Linked DNA regions of Xenopus tropicalis. The protein of the gene in region 5 purifies or fractionates together with the protein of the main gene of each other region. This does not show direct contact. Links are inferred from orthologs where the notes say so. Each region holds a gene or a part of one and is shown on either strand. Other genes may lie near its edges. The genes, in order: vamp3, snap23, snap29, vamp4, stx6 and vamp8.

Region 1 (4,220 bases), on a different chromosome or scaffold from region 5:
CCAGAGCCCTAAAGCTGGCCATACACGTGGCGATCTGACGATGTTTCATGCGAAACATTGTCAGATCCGCCACACACCGTCAGGGCTGAAACAGCAGATAAGGAGGTAGAAACAATAGGATTTCTACCTCCTTCTGCCGATTCAGCCCTGACGGCAGATTTTGGTCAGGCGCCTTCTATGGCGCCCGATCAAAATTTTCTAACCTGGCCAATCGGCGAGTCGTCCGATATCAGCAGCTTCCTGCGATATCGGTCGACTTGCCGACATGCCATACACGCACCGAATATCGTACGAAACAAGGTTTCGGTGCGTGTATGGCCAGCTTAAGGCCAAACTATAACATGAAAGGGATACAAAAAGTCAAGCCTGCACCATCCGATCGTCATCTGGACGATTTTTGGGCAGCTATTGGTTGGGGATGCCTGTCAGAGGGCCCCATACATTGACAGATAAGATGGCGAATTACTGTGAAGAACCCGAATTGGCAGCTTTAAGGTGCATGGCCACCTTTATAGAATTGCTAATATCTTTTCTACCAACCACCTGATATCTTTCCTATCCAAACTTCCCCTCCCCAAAAATCACCTACAATTCCCCTCTTCCTTCCTAGGAGGCGTGGCTAGTCCAGGCCCACCCATGGCAAACTTTGTGTGGAACCTACTGCAGAGGAGAGTGGGTGGGGGCTCTCCAGGCCATGGGACAGGACACCTGTTTACTTGGGGAAGCTGGTTATAATAATTAAATTAATTTAACCTGCAAATAGTTGCAGTCTATATACATATTTATATTGTTTTATTTCTTCCTTAACCTCAAAACATTTTAGTCCGCAGCTTGGCCAATGTTATTAAAAGAATAACTCGTCTCCTGGTCAGGTTTATATAACGGTGTTGTAAGAATTCCATATGGATTTAGTTTGTAAGCTTTATTTGACTACTGAGGTAAATGATTATTTCTGTTACTGCGCTGCAGGCTGCATAGCTATAAGTGCAATGTTCTCAGCTACCATTTATACCAAAGGGGCCCCAGGGAGGCTGTGTGCCCAGGCTGAATACTCTCTAGTTAAACTTTAGAAGCGTTCCCCTAATGTCGCAGCAAGAAACACATTAGACTGCCCGACACGCCTAGGGCCCCCCGCCGCCTCACACTATTCTGAACATAACCCTTGCGTGTGGAATTTCGCACGCCAAGCCCCCATGCCAGTTCATTGGCGGGAATATCGCAGCGGTTTCCGCCGTTCCCCGAGGGACAATTTAACAAGACAAAACCGGGAGCGGCTGTGCCACACACGTGACCTGCTGCTCAGCTGACAGCGCTGCACCTGACGTCATTGATGCTGGCCACGCCCTGAGTTGCGCTGGCCACACCTCTCCCGGCAGCGGAACTCTACGGGATTGCGGCTACACAAGGCAAAAACGCCCAGCGGAGTAAAGTCGGACCGGTGTCCTGCAGTATCTAGCCTGTCAAAATGTAAGTGTGCCAGTAGTGCTTGGGGGGGGCTGCCTTTACAAGTTGCGGGGAACGCCCTGCCCGGTATCCGCCCTTAGCCCTGCGCTACCGAGCGGGGCCTGTGAGGCGTAGAGTTTGGGCGCAGAATGTGCTATTTTGTCCGTACAAAGTTGTATTTAGTTCGGCCGAGAAGTTTGTGCATAGGCTTATAGGGGTGTTTGACAGGGGACACAAGTGCCCTATGGCTTTAAAGGGTAAATACAATTACAATAGGCGTGTAATGTTTCAGTCTGCTTTCTGAACTCCTAGCAGTGTCGGACTGGCCCACAGGGATACCGGGAGAATTCCCAGGGGCCCTCCTGCTTCTAGCCATTTGGCCTAATTCAGGGTCCTTACTTATTTTTCTATAAGGGAACAAAGCAACTAAATATATAGAAAAATAGATTATAGTCTGTAAAGATAAAGAAAAATAACTTGGAATATATAGAGATAAGAAATGGATGAAAAATAATTTGGAGGGTGGCCCCATGGTCTAAGGCAGTGATCCCCAACCAGTGGCTCAGGGGCAACATGTTGCTCCCCAACCCCTTGGGTGTTGCTCTCAGTGACCCCAAACCAGGGAGTTATGTTTGAATTCCTGACTTGGGGGCAAGTTTTGGTTGAATAAAAACAAGATTTACTACCAAATAAAGCCCCTGTAAGCTGATAGTGTGCATAGAGGCTACCTAATAACCCTTATTTGGCTCCTCCATGAACTTTATGGTGCTTGTGTTGCTCTCCAAGTCTTTTTACATTTGACTGTTGCTCACGAGTTAGAAAGGTTGGGGATCCCTGGTCTAAGGTTTTCTGGTGGGCTTTTAGCATCCCAAGTCCGACACTGACTCCTAGCATCTAATGGGATGGGAGTTGTAGTACAATAACAGCTTGTTGTTACATTACATAATATGACTTCTGTTAGAACTCAAAATAGACTTAATGGCTCGCATTTGTATTTACTGCTTCACAAGTCTTGACTCATTTTAAGAAATGGTTCTTAATGTGAATGTTCTGCTGCAGCACATTGTTGTTTTACGGAATTTATGTTGTTCAGATTGGGTGAATTTCATCAGCAGATAGGTTTCATTTCAAGTGCATTTGCTACATGTCACAGGGTAGGTTTTGACCACCATTGTATCCTGGTGGGGGTTTAAGCCCCTGAAATCACCCACGCCTGCCTCCCATAGCAACCAGAGGAAATCACCCTTGTGATGGCTGCATAGGCTGAGGATTTCTAATACATTACTATGGGAAGTGGCAACCAGCAAATTTATCAGATATTGGTCTAAGAATCATAATAAGGAACTTGTTACAGTTAGGTAATACTATTTAGGGTGAAGACACACAGAGCTACTAGTAGCAGCTACTTGTCATGGCTACTAAAAAAGGCTGCTGATCATTTACTGATAGTTATCTCTACATGTGTTAGGGCATTAGGGTATTTTCTGGAGTTTAGTAGCCTTTACAAAGTAGCTGGTACTAGTTGCCCATTGTGTCTTCACCCTTAAAGGAACAGTAACACCAAAAAATGAAAGAGCTTTAAAGTAATAAAAATATAATGCACTGTTGCCCTGCACTGGTAAAACTGGTGTGTTTGCTACAGTAACACTACTATAATTTATATAATAAGCTGCTGTGTAGCCATGGGGGCAGCCATTCAAGCTGGAAAAAAGGAGAAAAGGCACAGGTTACATAGCAGATAACAGATAAGTTTTATCTGTTATCTGCTATGTGCCTGTGCCTTTTCTCTTTTGAATGGCTGCCCCCATGGCTACATAGCAGCTTATTTATATAAATTATAGTAGACTTTCTGAAGTAAACACACAGCTTTTACCAGTGCAGGGCAGCAGCACATTATATTTTAGTTACTTTTATACAATTTCATTTTTTTGGTGTTGCTGTTCCTTTAAGTATCCAGATTATAACCCATATAGATACACTTGGTCAGTGTAGCAGATCTCTTCCAAACTGACTGAACATTAGGATGTAGCCTTTAGGTGACGTATTAACTTTTTTGTGACCCCAGTAGGTCCCTTCTTTCTCTAGAGAATTGCAGATTGCTGATAGCATAGCTCAATCCAATTGGGAACTCTTTTTTTGTGTAAGTCATTTATTTCAGATTCTTCTGATTAATATAATGTAACCGTATGTTGTTAGAGAGGAGAATGCCAGGGTTACACCCAAATTATTTACTCAGAGAAGGGCCAGCAGCAATAAAACAGCTTTAAACCCATTTTTACCAAAAAGGAGAGGAGCTGATCTGCACGTAGATCCCAGTAATTACCCTGGCACTAAGGAGAAGAGAAAGTGTAGCAGCTGCCTGTTTCACTTATGATCTACAGCTGCAGACCAGAATATTGTAATAAAATTATAATTATACACAATTTGTAGATTATAAGCTCTTTTGGGCAGGGCTCTCTTCACCTCTTGTATCAGTTATTGATTGCTTTATATGTTACTCTGTATGTCCATTGTATGAAACCCACTTATTGTACAGCGCTGCAAAATATGTTGGCGCTTTATAAATAAATGTTAATAATATACTGTAAGTTTTGCACTATGTGCACTTATTGCTCAAAGGTCTTTACCTTTGAGCAATAAGTGCAAAACTTACAGCAAAGTTTCTGGTGAATTCCATTCAGATGTTGGGGGCTAATGACTCCCCAGACACTTTTACATTTGATGTGCGTGTGTGTGGAGTTTGGGAGGCATTCTGTCTCAGAGGCTGATTATATCAG
Region 2 (2,583 bases), on a different chromosome or scaffold from region 5:
AGACCTACTGTATTCATTTTAAAGATCAAATATTAATATGAAGAACATGAGGAAGATAAAATGTTGCAAAATGTAAGCCATATGGTGACCTTACAATGTTTCCAGGGCATTTCTGTGTCTTCTGCCTACAGAGATAGGCCCTTTGGAGCTTATAATTATTATTCTTTTATTTAAAAAGTGCCAACATATTTCACTGCACTTTACAGAGATTATACATCACTCACATCAGTGCCCCAGTGGAGCTAGCAGTCAACAATCCCTATTGTTTTAGCATGAAGACACATGGAGCTACTAGCAGCAGCTAGATAATGCTGATCATTTACTGATAACCGTCTGTGTGTCTTCACCCTTAACATACACTACAGCCAATTTTATCAGTAAACAATTAACCAGGAACTTACTCTGCCTGGACAGAAAAAAAAAACCTTTCCCCAGAAATCTATAAAGTGAGACAATGCTCAGGTTGGAATCAAACTTGCAATCCACCCCCCTCCCCCAATACACACAAGTAGCTGTTCATTACCTTACGTAAGATGGCCATACATGCCAAGATTCTCACCCAATGGGAATTTGAAATCAACCCAATAGGTACTAGCAAGATTTTGGTTGAGCGGCCCTCCTAAAGGCTCCGTACGCAGGCCAATAATTTGGCAACTCTATTGCTTTCAGACTTTGGGGGCATAATTCCCAGCAAACTTATATAAACTTCAAAATCTACTGTATTTAGTTGTACATTAATCCTATGAATTCCTTGAATACCTTTAAGATATGCATGTGCCTGAAGGACATCTGGGGCACTTTGCTCAGTTAAAGTTTAGATAGTAATGAGTAAATAGTCACCAATAATAAAGCATGGTTTAAAATATATTTCCCTGTAAAGTATTGGGTTCCTAGCCCAATATTGTGTTTTCTGCATAAAAAAGTGGAAAAAAAACTAAAAGAATGAGATGAGGAGAAAATAAAGAGCAGTAGGATAATAGTTAGTTTGAGACCATCTGTAATTGTTCTATTTTTGTGCTTTTTACTTTTTTCACTGTTAAAGGAACAGTTACGTAAAAACGAAAGTGTTTTAAAGGAGAAAGAAAGGTAAAAACTAAGTAAGCTTTATCAGAAAGGTCTATGTAAATACAGCTATAAGCACTCACAGAAATGCTGCACTGAGTTTTCTGTTAAAATATTAGTTGTGTCTGTTTTCCTATGCCAGAGACACATCGCTCTCTGCTCTCTCCTGCTCCCCCTCCCTCAAGAATGCTAAGAACTCATCCCCCCCCTTAGGAATATGAATCTGAGCCAATCAGCAGGAAGCTGACTCATAACTAACAGAGCATGTTCACTTGGTCTGGGCGTCTGTGCAGGGGTGAGGCATTATGGGAACTTTCTATACACAGCTCAGCATTTTTTCTTCCTGTTTGGCTTCTGATCATCTGAACGGGAGAAATATGGGGAGACTTGAGACAACTGAAGGTATGCCTGCAGCTTGAGATTAACTCTTTATTAGCCTTTCCTTCTCCTTTAAAAGGAAAATAATGGTATTTAGCTATTTTTATGTATTTTCTCTTAAGGACAAACTTTCTAATCTTATCCATTCAAGATATAATCTTAGTACCTTTACATTCCTGCATGGCCAAAATGCAGTAAGGAATACAATTTACTCTATCAAACATTGTATATTCTTTTATATATTCTCTTACCTCTTAATATACGGACCACTCTGTGCCACTCCACCCTGTTGTCCATTTGTTTGATGAGGTTGCTTTGATATCACATTTTCTGAGTCATTGTCTTTACTGCCCCAAGTCTTTTTGTAGTTTTCCCCACTCTCGAAATCCTTTGGCCTACCAAGATGTGAAGTCTGTTAGACAGGATCATTCATTGCTACTGCTATTCAGAAATTGTTAAAAAAACATGACACCAAGATACAAAAAAAAAAAAAAAAATCAGAGGTGCAATATCCCTCTGGAACCAGAAACTTGTATTCAAATAAAAATCAAATTTGAATTTAAAATACGAACCTTCCCTAACCTCCCAGATAGGTTATGTCTCTGGAGAAGGGGGAGACACCCAGAAGTTGGCAGGGGGGAGTAAGGAGACCACAAAAATCATGACAGAATCCATTTATTTATAAATTACATTGTTTACACAGCAAATAATTTACTCTACCATATAAAATGTTATTCTTGTACCAAAACGTTTTTTTTTTTTTTTAGCTGTAATATTGGTGTGTAGGTGCCATCTCAGTGCATTGTGCCTGAGTCTGAGCTTTCAGAAGGAGCCAGCGCTACACATTAGACCTGCTTCCAAGTAACCTTTTGTTTCTCCTATGTAACTGGAGTCATGAATTTGCTGAGCTGGACTTGGATTTTTGCTTTTTAGGGTTATTATACCTACCACTAGGTGGGGCATGGGTGCATTTTTAGCAGCACTATTTGATGCATTTTGAGTAGGAATGCACCAAGATTTGGGAGATTTTTTAAGATAGATTTGGATTTGGCTGAATCCATGCTCCTGGCCGCACCAGTTCCGAATCCTTAAAATCACGTGCCTTTTTGTTACATAAACACGGTAAAAACAAGTTGAAAATTA
Region 3 (2,177 bases), on a different chromosome or scaffold from region 5:
TAGGTAAAAATGCTGCTGTACAAGATTATTGTGCTACTTCTCAGTCTAGTATGCAAAGTGGCCTTTTTAAACACGCCCTCAAACATATATGCATTTGACAGTGAAACACAGGCTCAGATGTTATCATAGCTTGTACTGCTTAAAGATATACAGTATATATGTTAATGTACAGCTACTAAAAAGCTAGGCACATTTGCCTTCAACAGCTGCTATAAATTCTTTACCACTGATTTTATCTGAAGCACATGTGCCCCGTTTTGATTATGATTACAACTTTGTAATTGATAGTTACAAGGGTGCATGGTGTTATTGCTCATGTAATATTTTACACAGCTTTAAAATATGCCCAAGTGTGCTAATAATACAAAAGGGGAAATAAGGATTACTATGTCCAAAACATTTAATAAGTATAAGGGAGTATGAATAAATTATCTGAAATGTCAGGCAGAGAAACAAGTCTACAGACTCAAATTTGTCTAAAGAAGACAAATGGCACAAAATCAGAAAGCAAATAATATATTAAACAAGTTAGTTAAAATAATAACAGGCAAGATTATTAGGCTTTTTTTTTTAACTTAACAAGTAAACTGATAAAATATTCACAGTATGGTTTACGGGAGTGTCACATAAATTTATAAACATATTTATACACAAAGTTTCAGAACACTAGATTAAAATAATAAGGGTAATAAGAAAGTGGCATATGGCAGGGCCCATTAAACCCTATGTTACGAGCATGTGTAAAATATTGCAGTTTTAATAAAGGCATGTTCATATGTCTATTCTGTCATATAGCAGTAAGGTAATACCTAGCAAATGAACTCAAATACTTTATTCAGATCCAGAGCTATAACAAACTGCCAATCACTACAATACAATTCCAATAGTAAGACAATTCATTTTTATATCTTAATAAGGATCTATATTAGTAATAATACTGCAAAACATCATCTACATTTAATGCTAACGAATGTAATGTATAGTTATACAGAAGATATAAGATTCAGATAGGGATGTGTGGGATATTTATGTCCCAGTATAAAAAAAAACAAAAAAAAAAAAAACTGCATAACATTATAAAAACCACAAGAATAAAACTCAAGAGTCGGTCTTGGTCAAGTCTGAAATTTGTCTTTTATAGCTCTTCGCGAATCCGCTTGTCTGTAGTCTTGATGTTTAAGTCCATCTTATCTACTTTGCCAGTTAGGCGCCCAAGCATCTCATCCTGGTCATCGATTTCTGTCTGAAGTCCTAGTGCAAGGTTTTTCAGGCGACCCAAACCTAAAGACATGTCATCTGGAAGAAAGGAATAACACAACCTTAGGATTAGTATTATTATTTTTAAAATGCAGCAATATTAGTAGGTATGGAAAAAAAAAATACGGTGTATGGGTTACACCTTGTCATTTAGCTTTAACCAGGTCATCTATAAATGGTAGCCTTGATGCCTAGAATCAGTCATTAAAATCTGTTGGGAGCCTATTTCTTTCCCAATAGATTCTTAATGTGATTAGTTGGTTGGTAATTAGAGTCGCAATCCTCCAAACTGTTTATGAAAGATATGCCAAAACAGGAAGTATTTGTTAAGAGATACTGACACCAGAAATGAAATTATTTTTACATCTGTCATAACATTGTCTTTGCATGCTATTTATAATTTTGCCATAAAAGTATTTGTCCAAGCTTTTACATTCCCTATCTGATCCCCCATGTTCCTCTATGAGGGGGCGGCCATATTTGTCCAGCAGGAGGCCGTTAGCATTAGAAGCTATAACTGACAGGCTGAGAAGGGACAGTCAGGCTGGCAAAACAGTCAGGTTTTGGGATTTCAAGTAACAATTACTTACAAAAGCAGCCCTATCAGTAAAAAATGATCAACACGACCTATAGGCAACTTTTTATGTAGATTTATATTTTAAAAAGTTTTTTTTTCGTGTCAGTATCACTTTAGCAGTCATAATGGTTTTGTAGACAGGCCAAAGGGGTATTTGAAGAGCAGCTCTCTTATTATTTCACTCCCAGTCTTATACCACACAAATCCTTTCAGTGTTATTATGTAAAAAGACACTGGGTTACCCCATTAGGGCAAAGGCACACATTTCAGTAATTTAAAAAGCAATTGTAATACTGATAATAGTAAATGTAGGATTGGTAGTTAATGATCCTCAGAGCCTATA
Region 4 (4,181 bases), about 6.6 Mb from region 5:
CCCACAACATGTGATTACCTTTAAGAAAAAAACCCCAAAATTAAGGAATTGGCGCATTCTAGGGTAAACATTATGCCCATGTAATCTGGAGGTATTATTTATTACATTTGGACTTGAGAAGTTTTACAGAAATGTTATGCACTGACAAACTAGTGATTTTTTTTTCTTGCTGAAATTAAGGGCTGAGAACTTTAGTTCCCATGCACACATATACAGGTTATTTCTACATAATTTCCAATTAACTATTATAGGACAAAGAATCTGCACAGTGATGGAAACCTTTGTGCACTGGGCAGGATTGCTTAACATGCATGATATATAAGCATTTTTGGAATAACTGTCTCACCTTTTCGAAAGGGAAATACTGGCATTTATATGGTTATTTTATTGGCTGAAACAGATAATTCTCCATGGTTTAAAGGAATGTCTGATGAAGAGACCCAGCTGCCCCTAAAACCTGGTCAATAAATATAAAACAAAGAGCTGCTTTTTTCTTTCTCAACCAACTAGGTTTGAAATTAAAAATACAAGCTGCCAATAATAAACTGCCAGGGACACAAAATAATAAAGATAATAAGTCTTAAGTCTTGGCTAATATTTGGCATATAAAGAAAAAAGCAGACTAAACTGCCAGTTACATAAAAAGAAATGAAAATATTCACATATACATTTCCTTCCAGAGCTAACAACCCCCCCCCCCCCCACCCCACCCCATTACACCATGATTCTGCATTTACAAGGAAAAAGAACACAATGTAGAATTATACACAGGGGCAAGAACATAGCTGCGAGTTCAGCAAAAACCTAAAAAATAATTCTTGCATTCTACTGTTCAAAAATGTATTACCCGAGGCTCTGTCCTGTTCTGCTCTGCTCTGGAGCTGGTGCTAAGGAAAGGGGCCTATAAAAGCTATTTTTCTCTGTACTGCATTTTCGGCGCCTGAATAAGGTGCTACCGCAATTATGAACATTAAGGGCCTTAAGTTTGCCTTGAGAGGAAACTTCCGCAATTTTGGGAAATTGCGGCACCGCATATGCCATACCACCGGCGATTGACATTTAAGCCGATGGGGTGGCATATCGGGGTGATTAGTCGCCCGCGACAAGGGAGATTTGTTGCAGGCGAATAATCTCCCCGTCTGCCACGGCCCTAAAGGAGAAGGAAAGTTACAATCACTTGGGGGTGCCAAAATGTTAGGCAGCCCCCCTCCCCTCAGTGACTTCAATCGCTTACTTGAAACCCCCAGCCGGTGCTCCTGTTTGGAGAAAACTGCAGTGGCCAGGGTGTATGCGAGCGAGCGTTCCTTCTTCTTTGCACATGTGCAGTAGAGTAAAAAGCCGGCTTTAACAAAATAGCTGGCTTTTTCATTCAACTGAGCATGCTTCGGCCCCTGGATTCCGAAGAAAGAAGATAAAAGGAAAAGGAACACTCGCTCACATATACCCAAGGCCACTGCAGTTTTCTCCAAACAGGAGCACCGGCTGGGGTATCAGGTAAATGATTACAATCAATGGGGGTGCCTAACATTTTATTTATCTCCATCCCATCCAGACACACTCCAATAATTCTGAAGTATCCAGCCGGATGCTTACTATATACAGTCACAATACAAAAGCACTTATTTTTGCATGTTATTTAAGTAATCCAGTGAAGTTAAAGAGTGATTCACCTCAAGTTAACTTTTATTATGTTATAAAATGATCAATACTTGGCAACTTTTCAGCTGGTCTTCATTTGTTATTTTGTATCGTTTTTGAATTATTTGGCTTCTTCTTCTAAAGCTTCCAAATGGGGGTCACTGACCAGGTCTGATCTGGGATTCAAAATAGGCCTGGCCAATTCAAGTACACAAAAGGCCCAAACAGCCCCCACCAGCCCAATAGTGACTGTCTATGGTATCTTACAGCAGCCCCTCTGGAATTTACCAGAATCCACATATCGTCAGTCCGGGCCTGTCACTGACCCTGTCTGTCAAAAACTATTGCTCTGTGAGGCTACAATTTTATTGTCATTCTCTTCATTACTTATCTTCCTAGTTACGTTCTCTCCTGTTCATATTCCAGTCTCTAATTCAAACCACTGCCTGGTTACTAGGGTAACTAAGATCAAAGCAACCAGATAGGTGCTGAAACTCCAAACTGAAGAGTTGCTTCGCAAAAAGCAAATTAATTAAAAAACCGTAAATAATAAAAATTAAGACCAAATGCAAATATAAATCTCCACGTCATACTTAAAAGTTAATTTTAAGGTGAACAACCCCTTTAAAAGTTCTACGTGTTCCAATCTATACAAAGTTGTCATCAAGATCATCCTTATGACAGTCAATGAGACTATATATGTACCCTCTATTGTACATGATAAAGATATCAGAGGTTATGGGAGGTTTCATGACCATATAGTGGCACAACGCAGCAAGACACAAATTTTAGAACTAAGCACTGATTATCACTATCAATTTACTGGATATTCATGGCTTGAGTACTGTGTGTGTGTATAATATATATATATATTATATATATACATACATACACACACACATAGAAGATAAATTAACAAGTAAAGCAATAGGTGGCCATAAGTGTGTAGCAATTCGTATTTAGTACAGTAACACAAACACTGGGATTTGTAAAGAGGAACCACTGACAAGAAGACAATAAGACCGAGCCATCTTCCTCACCGCCTGTGACTGTCACAAGACAAACTGGCAGCTGTAATATATTCGGACGGTTCACTATTGGGGGAATCCCTCCCAACTAGAGCCGATGCGGCAGACCTGTACCTGTTCGGATGAGACTCCAGCGATGCTCAGCTCTAAGCTTATTCACTGGCTAACATGGCGCTCCAGCTGACTGTAAACCATCCATCGCTCGAAACGCGATTCACCGTCCTGTTCCCTTTAACCCTCTGAATGATCTAGAGTTCGGCGTTCTCACAATGCGCAAGCGCACTGGCACAGTGTGAAGCCAGCCTGCCAGCACCATTGTAGGACTGAAATTAATGATTTGACGTTGTTTGTATTCATTAACGCCGTACAAAATGTTTTTTTAAGTATTAATTACATCTTTTAAGATGAAATAGAGACATTAAAGAAATGTTGTCATTATTTTTAGTATTGAACAAATATTTGCTCTTTCATTTTATTTTAAATTGTCTCTTTCTTAGGCTAATATCCCATGGGGAGATTTAGTCGCTGTGATTTTTAAAAAGTGAGTCGCTTTTAACAAGTCACTTGTCTTTTCCTAACAAGCGATTACAACAATGGAGCAATTCTATTTCCCACAAATCCAAGTGTCATATTCCACAATTAGAAATTATATTCAGTGCAATGGGGAAATCGCAGCAGCTTCCATCAGTGGGTTTTACTTTCAGCGATTCCAGTAGTTTTTAATGACATTGCTTTCTTTGTAAAATCACTCAAAAAAGGGTCTCATATCGATTCAGAGCGTTAAGCGATTTGAAGTAGTATCGTCTTCGTTGTCGTGGGCAACTAATCTCCCCACAGTGCCATCCCACCCATTCTAGCCGGTGGGATGGCATTGTGGGGAGATTAGTCGCCCGCGACAACAAAGATTTGTCGCGGGGTGACTAATCTCCCCAAGTACCACTGCCCTTATACTGTAGAGTAGACATTTACATAGATAGGGTTTATTGGTCCCTTTGTAGGGCACTTACTCCTAGTGCAAGGTTATGTGTTTGCTTGTGTGTATTTATAACACCTTGGGGCACATTTACTAATCCACGAACGTCCGAAAAGCGTCCGAATGCTTTTTTTCGTAATGATCGGTATTTTGCAATTTTTTTCGTAAGTTGTCACGACTTTTTCGTAGCCGTTATGACTTTTTCGCAAATTGTCGCGACTTTTTCGTAGCGTTACGACTTGCGTGAATTGTTGCGATTTTTCGTAGCCGTTGCGCCGAGTACGAAAGTTTCGGATTCATTCAAGCTTCAGTATCGTGACTTTCCTTGGGTCGGGTTGGAGCTGCAGAGTGCCATTGAGCCCTATGGGAGACTTTCCTTGGGCCAGGTTGGAGCTGCAGAGTGCCATTGAGTCCTATGGGAGACTTTCCTTGGGCCGGGTTGGAGCTGCAGAGTGCCATTGAGCCCTATGGGAGACTTTCCTTGGGCCAGGTTGGAGCTGCAGAGTGCCATTGAGTCCTATGGGAGGCTTTCCTTGGGCCAG
Region 5 (3,500 bases):
GCTCCAGCTGCTCATCTTGCTGCTCCATAATCAGCTAAGAAAAAAAATGTAAATCACAAGGATATATCATGAGGCATTTACAGCCTTTATATGTGGCTTGTGGCTTTTCAAACATTGGCAAGTGTCTTATAATGGTTCCTAAGCAACAGTGCTTTGTTTAATGAAAAAATCTTTCCTGTATCTTTAGCAGCATTGGAAATGCAGACACACAGACTGAGTAATGTTGCACAGGTTGTATATCTGTGGTCTTACACTGAATCACAGTATTCCTAACAATGCTACAAACTGTCTTGGTAACATTGTTTCAGCTGCATTATACTATTAAACAGTTATGCCTTATCATAACCATAGGACTAACCAAAAGTTATCTTAAAGGAGAAGGAAAGGCTAAGTCACTTGGGGGTGCCAAAATGTTAGGCACCCCCAAGTGACTTACATGACCTACCTTGTACCCCGGGGCACCTGAAGACACCGTTTCCTCCTTCCTTTGCGCGCTGCTGGCGAAATCCGTGGGCCGGCGCATGCACAGTAGAGTGAAAAGCCGACTTTAATGTTTAAGTTCGGCTTTTCACTCTACTGCGCATGCGCGCGCAAGCGAGGAGGAAGCAGGTAGCGCCGGCAGCTGCCCCGGGCTGGTGCTGTTCTCTCCGTACGGGGGCACCAGCCCGGTGTACAAGGTAGGCGTTCTAAGTCACTTGGGGGTGCCTAACATTTTGGCACCCCCAAGTGACTTAGCCTTTCCTTCTCCTTTAAATAAAAGCAGAAGTGTATGAAACAAAATAGTCAACATCACTGAGCCGAGACTGACCTGTCATCAGTTTTTCTTTTTTTTTTTTTAAATAATAACGACAAGTTCCTATCCCTTTCTATAATAAGATAAAAGTGAGTCTTTAATTAAATAAATTACCTGCTGCTGCCCAACCTGACCATCTAAAAACTGGGAGTTTGCATTCTCGAGTTCTTGGTCCAAAGCTTTGTATTTTTCTGTTTCAAGATTCCAGCCATGCTTTGTTCCCTCCCCTAAAAGGGCCTGAAAGAGAAAGCTATATAAATGCTGTGCAAGTTTTAGCAATAGAAACATTATCACTGAAAAAATATTTTATGAGGCTTAAACAACATGTATTATTTCAGAAGGTAGAGAAGATTTAGAAAAAAAATGACAAAAAAAATAACCCTGAAAACATATATAGCATAAATACCTGTTTTCATTATTTTTGCTTTCTTTCCAATATAGCAGTTTTGTCATGCTATACTTTACTATACACTCAGCGGCAAGTCAGAGCCGGGTTCCCCTGCAAAAAAAATCTTCTGAGGGGCCCAGTGCACAGCTGTTCAGTGCAACAAACCTTTATCCCTCCTGCCCCTGTCCCCGCTCCCCTTCCGCAAAGTGCAGCTGGGGAGGGGGGATTTTTTAAAACAATTTTTAAAATTTAATCTCAAACTATAGAGGAACCAGACCCAGTGATCCGGGTCGCCCCACGACTACGGGGGCTGTCTTGTCTATAGTTACAGCAGTGGCTAGACTTCAGGGTGGTCCTAGTTCTTATCTAAAACGAACTGTTTACATCACAGCAGAATTTTGTATATGTATCAGGATTAATTAGCAAAGTAATAGAAACAACACAGTGGCGGTTTTAATATATGTTATTTGTGAACACCCTTACCTGTCTGTTCTTTTTCTCAGTCAGTGCTTGAACAGAAGGGCTTGTCATCCTATCCTTCATGTCCTGTGCAGATAAAGCATTTTCATATAGAAAGTTAAAACTGAAACCATTACTTTCATTTAAAGTATTCTTCAAGACTTCCACTCCTCCTGGACTTCAACCAGCATTGCCTAGAACAGGGATCCCAAACCTTTCTTACTCGTGAGCCACAGTCAAATGTAAAAAGACTTGGAGAGCAACAGAAGCATCACAAAAGTTCATGGAGGTGCTGAATAAGGGCTAAGATTGGCTATTAGGCAGCCTCTATGCACACTATCAGCTTACAGGAGGCTTTATTTGGTAGTAAGTCTTGTTTTTACTCAACCAAAACTTGCCATCGAGTCAGGAATTCAAAAATAACTACCTGGTTTGGGGGCACTGAGAGCAACATCCAAGGGGTTGGTGAGCAACATGTGGCTCACGAACCACTGGCCTAGAAAATGCTGATTTCAGTAAAGTATTGCCAAACATTGTATAGGAATTCCGACCGTTGTGATTATCCTTATTTATTTATTTTTTTAAAGTTTTTTCAACAAGCATTAATTACAACAAGAAGGTTAGATAAAGAGAAGAAGGAAGAAAGGAAGGAGGGGGGGGGGGGGCAACATACAGGTAGAATGCCAGACAGGGAGAAATGTTTGAGAGGATATCTTTTTTAGCATAATAAATCAGCTGCAAGGAGCACAGTTTCTCATACTGAGGTTGCCAGTTATACCCAGTAAATACCCAGTATAGTAAAGGCAATATGTTGGGAAATGCAAGTGTATGCTTATATATGCCAGTATTTCAAGCCAGAAGGTACATATGACTAGACACTCCCAAAACACATGGAACATTGAGACAACATAATTTTGCCATTTAGGACAGAGGTCCCCTGAATTATTTTGGACAGTCTCTGCGTGGCCAAGTAGTCTCTATGAATAAACTTAATTTGGAGTTTAAATCTAGTGAGTTGGGCCAATCAAGTGCCTCTTCGCACATCTCCAAATCCAGTATATTTTCTGTCCATTTATCCTTTATATATTAAGAAACACATTGCTTACTAAGATCAGTTGAGTGTAACTTCCATGCATACATACATCTACATCACAGGACAAATACACCAAAAGTTATATTTTTATTGTGCAGAAGGAAACCCAAGCACCCAGAGGATACCCACATGTGATCTGTTGTAAATAAATACAACGGTTGGGATAAAAGTGATTCAATCCAAACAGCTGAAATCAACACTACCCGCTCTTGGCATAATGCACAATTAACTAATGCTATTGAGAATCTTGCAAAACTAACAGAAAAACACAAGAACCCAGTCTAATCATACCTTGACACACTGACGAGTTTCACTGATGAAGGCTTTCCTTTGTCTCAGTTCAGCTGGATCCAGACTAAACTTTCGTGGATTGGACTCCACAATACATGAGGAAGAGTAAAGGAAAATTTTGTACCAAGAAAAGGTGATATAAAAAATTATAAAGGCTACATTCCAGACTGTTGTTGAAGCCACCTTTTCAGGTGCAACATTTGCTCAGACCCAATCTTGGTTCATAAAACCAGTAAAATATATGAAAGCAACATTGTAACCATCACTGAGCTATAATGTTAGGACAGCATATTTGCATTCTTCACAAACGTTGCCCTAACTGTCCATCAGACTGTGTTTCTTATGCAACACTATGAGCCCATCTGGTGAAGCCATCCCTAGTCTGGGATCCTCTGTTTAAATAAATGGGGCCACTTCTTGTAATGAAAAAAAAGGGTCATGCCAAAATGTAATCAGCTAAACCCATATGGAAGTAT
Region 6 (3,500 bases), on a different chromosome or scaffold from region 5:
TACGGAAAAAGAATTTACCGAGCCTCAAATGACTACTACGAGCAAGTAATAATAACAACATATTAAGACTCTAGAACCCAACTGATAATAAGAGAATGCATATTATAGCTAGTTAGATACAATCTACCCTTATATACAAAAGAGACATGTCCCCTACAGTGGCATTATAGATAAACTGTTAATTCAGATTTCCCAGAAATTTCTGCAAACAAATTCAAACAGAAGCAACTCTAAGTAGCCGAGAGGGGTTGATCAACAATGTGTACACCAGTGAATGAGCAGGATTCCCATATCAGATTATACACTGGGTGGCAGCAATGTATCATTTGGGGCTTAAACTAATGAATAAAGGCAAGAATGCAAAACATGCATGGGTTTAAAAAAAAATAATTGGTGAAAGTGTAGAAGTGGTAGATATTACACTTTTATCTAGTCCATAACGGTAATGGTGTACAATGGTAATGGTGTACAATGAGTACAAGAACTTAACCAAAAACATATCACCGGAAACAAAGTGGGAAATGGGCTGCAAGTAGGAATGAAATAATATACCTAGATATTTTTATTTGCCATATTGAGAATCAAACCTTTATGTGTAGGAAGAAAATATACACTCATTTGGTATGCAGACCCCACTGGATCTAGGTGTGACCTGAAACAGGCCAACACATAAGGAGAAAATGAATGTAGCCAATCAGAGGCATCCAAAGTATAACAACACAAGTCTGATTGGCCTCTCTCCATTGGCTTGAGGAGAGCTCATCAGGCAGGAGTAAGTGAAAGGTAATCATGAGTCCTCATTGGCAGAGCAGCCTGGTTGGCGAGTGACAATCTTTATGTGGGGATGACTCCAGTGGCGAGGAGGATGATGAGGAGTACAATAATTCCAACCACCACGCAGATTATGGCAATCATCTTTGCGTTTTTCCACCAGTACTTGCGGGCAACCTTCTGGGAAGTGGTCTTGAAGTGTTCAGACTGGGTGAAAGGAACAGACAAAACAAGGTGAGGCAGTGATAGAGCGAGTACAGAGAAGGATGATGGGCAGAATAACAGTGTAGGTAGTGGAGAACTAAGATGGGGCTGGAGAGGGATTTAGATGGGATGCCTATGGCTATGGGCACTTACGCTAGCTTCCAGGTCTTCTGTTTTGTTCCTTAGATGATCCAGATTCTCTCCCCGTGCCAGAATTCGCTCCACATTTTGGGACATGATTCCCTTTACGTCGTCCACCTGACTCTGGAGATCCCTCACGCGTTCAGGGGCCGCTGGGGCATTTGCCCCTCCCATATCCTGCCAAAGTAATCAATAATGAAATAGGGGCAGAAATCTGCAAAGACCCAGGATACAGAATCACACATGCTGCCACTCTTTTACAGTTAATAGGCAAAAAATAATCAGTAGAATTTGTTTTCCCTATAATGCTGTAAGAGCTGTGGCACATGTATGGTTAAGGTCAGCCATACAATTCCACAGAAATGGGATACCCTGCAAGAAGCTGGCCAGACATAAGATCCGCTTGTTTCTTTCCCCGATATGCCCACCTGTGTTTCTTTTGATAGAGGACTCAGAGCAGCATTACTATAAGTGATATGGCTGTATTTACGTAGACCTTTCTGATAAAGGTTTCTTTAAAAATCCTGATTAAGTTTTTACCTTTCTTTCTCCTTTAGGGCTCTGGCACACGGGGAGATTAGTCGCCCGCGACAAAACTCCCTGTTCGCGGGCGACTAATCTCCCCGGATTGCCATCCCACCGGCAAAAATGTAAATCGCCAGTGGGATGGCAAACGCAGCGGCACGATTTCAGTGAAATCGCGCAAGTTGCCTCGAGAGGAAACTTGCGCGATTAAATCGCGCCGCCGCGTATGCCATCCCAGCGGCGATTTACATTTTCGCCGGTGGGATGGCATTTCGGGGAGATTAGTCACCCGAGACACAGGAGATTTGTCGTGGGCGACTAATCTCCCCGTGTGCCAGAGCCCTTAACATTAAACTAAGCTTTATATTCTGCAGCCTCTCCACTTTAGCATTTTAGCCGCTACCTGCTTGCTAGGGCCTAATTTACCCTAGCAACCAGACAGTGGCTTGAATAAAAGAGCGTAAAATAAATTGGAGAGGGCCAGAACAGAATGATAAGTTATAAAGTAACAATAACAATTGTATAACAATACTAGTTTAACCTCACAGAGCAATAGTTTTTTTGGCGCCGGGTTCTGTGACCGGTAGATTGGATTTTTAACTGTAGCTGAACAGAAAGAAGTAAAGAAGCTAAGACATTTGGATGACCGTGGATGGGATTTTCTTTTTTGTTAAAGTATGTGCACATAATGTCAATGCTGAGAAGGGGAACTCTGAATTACATCAAGCACTATGGCGAAAATGTTTCATCCTGGAAGTGACACCAATACACATGCTTACAGACTGGCCTAAAGCCTGCTTAACGCTCACTCAGCATACACACTATCTCCACTGACTCCACTGATTCTAACACACGTATGTGCAGTAAGCATTTGCTTAAAACGGGACAGGAGCCCGGGGGCCATTTCTGGCACAAAACAAGAATAGGAAGCCAGCTTCACTTTGGCACTTCCTGAGGCTTTCTGATCCCAATGAACTTCAAAAGGAGTTGATAAAACTAATTACCAGCCCACTGAAAAGCCCTGCATAATAAGCTGTTTTAAAGGCTGCTGCTTAGAGAAGGGAAGGATTTGTTTGCTCAAAAGTAGTTAGGAAGATCTAAACAAACTGCCCTGTTTATAAAGCAAGTGAGGGTAAGTTCAATGAAAATTTGTTTTTATATTGGCAAAAAATACAGATTTTTTAAATTAAAAAACACGCAGAATTTTTTTTAAACACAACTTGGTTTTTGGTGTATACGCTCCCCAGTCCCAATAAACTTAAAGGACCATTGTTTTTTTTTCAATCCAAATTAAATATGTAAGTATAAATAAAACTTTAAGGTGAATCAGCCCTTTAAATTGGCTTGGTGTGCTGTAACAACTCCCTGCCAAGAGCTCCGAGCATCCAACCCCACAAACCGCTGTGACTTCCTGATCACTGCATGGCCGGTATTTCCCATGAGATATATCCTCAAACCTTCGCCACACATACCAAACCTTCCATAGCTCAGATGCTAATGCATTGCTAATGCCAATGCTATTTACTGTGACCTCATCAAAACAGAACGCCTTTATTTCTTTGTCCTTTATCCACCACGGCAGACTTTGTTGCTCCAACATATCATTATAGTTTGCAACTAAACAATTCTAGCGCTGCCATTTAGGCTGGTGGCACATGAAAAATTCTCTACCAGGTAAGAAGAAGATTCTGCCACCTCCAATTCACTTCTTTGAGAAATGCATGACAACATTAGTACACAGAATTTTTGGGCCCAAAGACGCACAGAAGCGCTAGCACCACAGACGTCATACACTCTATAACAACAGGGATCCCCAACCTTTTTTACCCCTGAGCCACATTCAAATGTAAAAAGATTTG

Evidence for each region.
Region 1: the proteins of stx6 (region 5) and vamp3 purify together in Homo sapiens (affinity purification with mass spectrometry; 5 studies listed by BioGRID and IntAct, counting the BioPlex papers as one, with this or other methods). This does not show direct contact. The link is inferred for Xenopus tropicalis from reciprocal best matches to the Homo sapiens genes STX6 and VAMP3.
Region 2: the proteins of stx6 (region 5) and snap23 purify together in Homo sapiens (affinity purification with mass spectrometry; 3 studies listed by BioGRID and IntAct, with this or other methods). This does not show direct contact. The link is inferred for Xenopus tropicalis from reciprocal best matches to the Homo sapiens genes STX6 and SNAP23.
Region 3: the proteins of stx6 (region 5) and snap29 purify together in Homo sapiens (co-immunoprecipitation; 3 studies listed by BioGRID and IntAct, counting the BioPlex papers as one, with this or other methods). This does not show direct contact. The link is inferred for Xenopus tropicalis from reciprocal best matches to the Homo sapiens genes STX6 and SNAP29.
Region 4: the proteins of stx6 (region 5) and vamp4 purify together in Homo sapiens (co-immunoprecipitation; 5 studies listed by BioGRID and IntAct, counting the BioPlex papers as one, with this or other methods). This does not show direct contact. The link is inferred for Xenopus tropicalis from reciprocal best matches to the Homo sapiens genes STX6 and VAMP4.
Region 6: the proteins of stx6 (region 5) and vamp8 purify together in Homo sapiens (affinity purification with mass spectrometry; 3 studies listed by BioGRID and IntAct, counting the BioPlex papers as one, with this or other methods). This does not show direct contact. The link is inferred for Xenopus tropicalis from reciprocal best matches to the Homo sapiens genes STX6 and VAMP8.

What each region holds. Positions count from the first base shown.
Region 1 is NC_030683.2:101,173,481-101,177,700, forward strand, and holds the start of vamp3 (vesicle-associated membrane protein 3), read left to right. Parts: upstream 1-1,420; 5' UTR 1,421-1,465; coding exon 1,466-1,467; intron 1,468-4,220. UniProt on the Homo sapiens protein: SNARE involved in vesicular transport from the late endosomes to the trans-Golgi network.
Region 2 is NC_030684.2:105,560,974-105,563,556, forward strand, and holds part of snap23 (synaptosomal-associated protein 23), read right to left. Parts: intron 1,836-2,583; coding exon 1,692-1,835; intron 1-1,691. UniProt on the Homo sapiens protein: Essential component of the high affinity receptor for the general membrane fusion machinery and an important regulator of transport vesicle docking and fusion.
Region 3 is NC_030677.2:153,633,264-153,635,440, forward strand, and holds the end of snap29 (synaptosomal-associated protein 29), read right to left. Parts: intron 1,297-2,177; coding exon 1,136-1,296; 3' UTR 501-1,135; downstream 1-500. UniProt on the Homo sapiens protein: SNAREs, soluble N-ethylmaleimide-sensitive factor-attachment protein receptors, are essential proteins for fusion of cellular membranes.
Region 4 is NC_030680.2:107,501,160-107,505,340, reverse strand, and holds the start of vamp4 (vesicle-associated membrane protein 4), read right to left. Parts: upstream 2,801-4,181; 5' UTR 2,781-2,800; intron 453-2,780; exon of another isoform or gene 347-452; intron 1-346. UniProt on the Homo sapiens protein: Involved in the pathway that functions to remove an inhibitor (probably synaptotagmin-4) of calcium-triggered exocytosis during the maturation of secretory granules.
Region 5 is NC_030680.2:100,858,217-100,861,716, reverse strand, and holds part of stx6 (syntaxin-6), read right to left. Parts: intron 3,120-3,500; coding exon 3,025-3,119; intron 1,728-3,024; coding exon 1,665-1,727; intron 1,031-1,664; coding exon 908-1,030; intron 35-907; coding exon 1-34. UniProt on the Homo sapiens protein: SNARE promoting movement of transport vesicles to target membranes. Targets endosomes to the trans-Golgi network, and may therefore function in retrograde trafficking.
Region 6 is NC_030679.2:125,658,574-125,662,073, reverse strand, and holds the end of vamp8 (vesicle-associated membrane protein 8), read right to left. Parts: intron 1,294-3,500; coding exon 1,129-1,293; intron 979-1,128; coding exon 835-978; 3' UTR 416-834; downstream 1-415. UniProt on the Homo sapiens protein: SNAREs, soluble N-ethylmaleimide-sensitive factor-attachment protein receptors, are essential proteins for fusion of cellular membranes.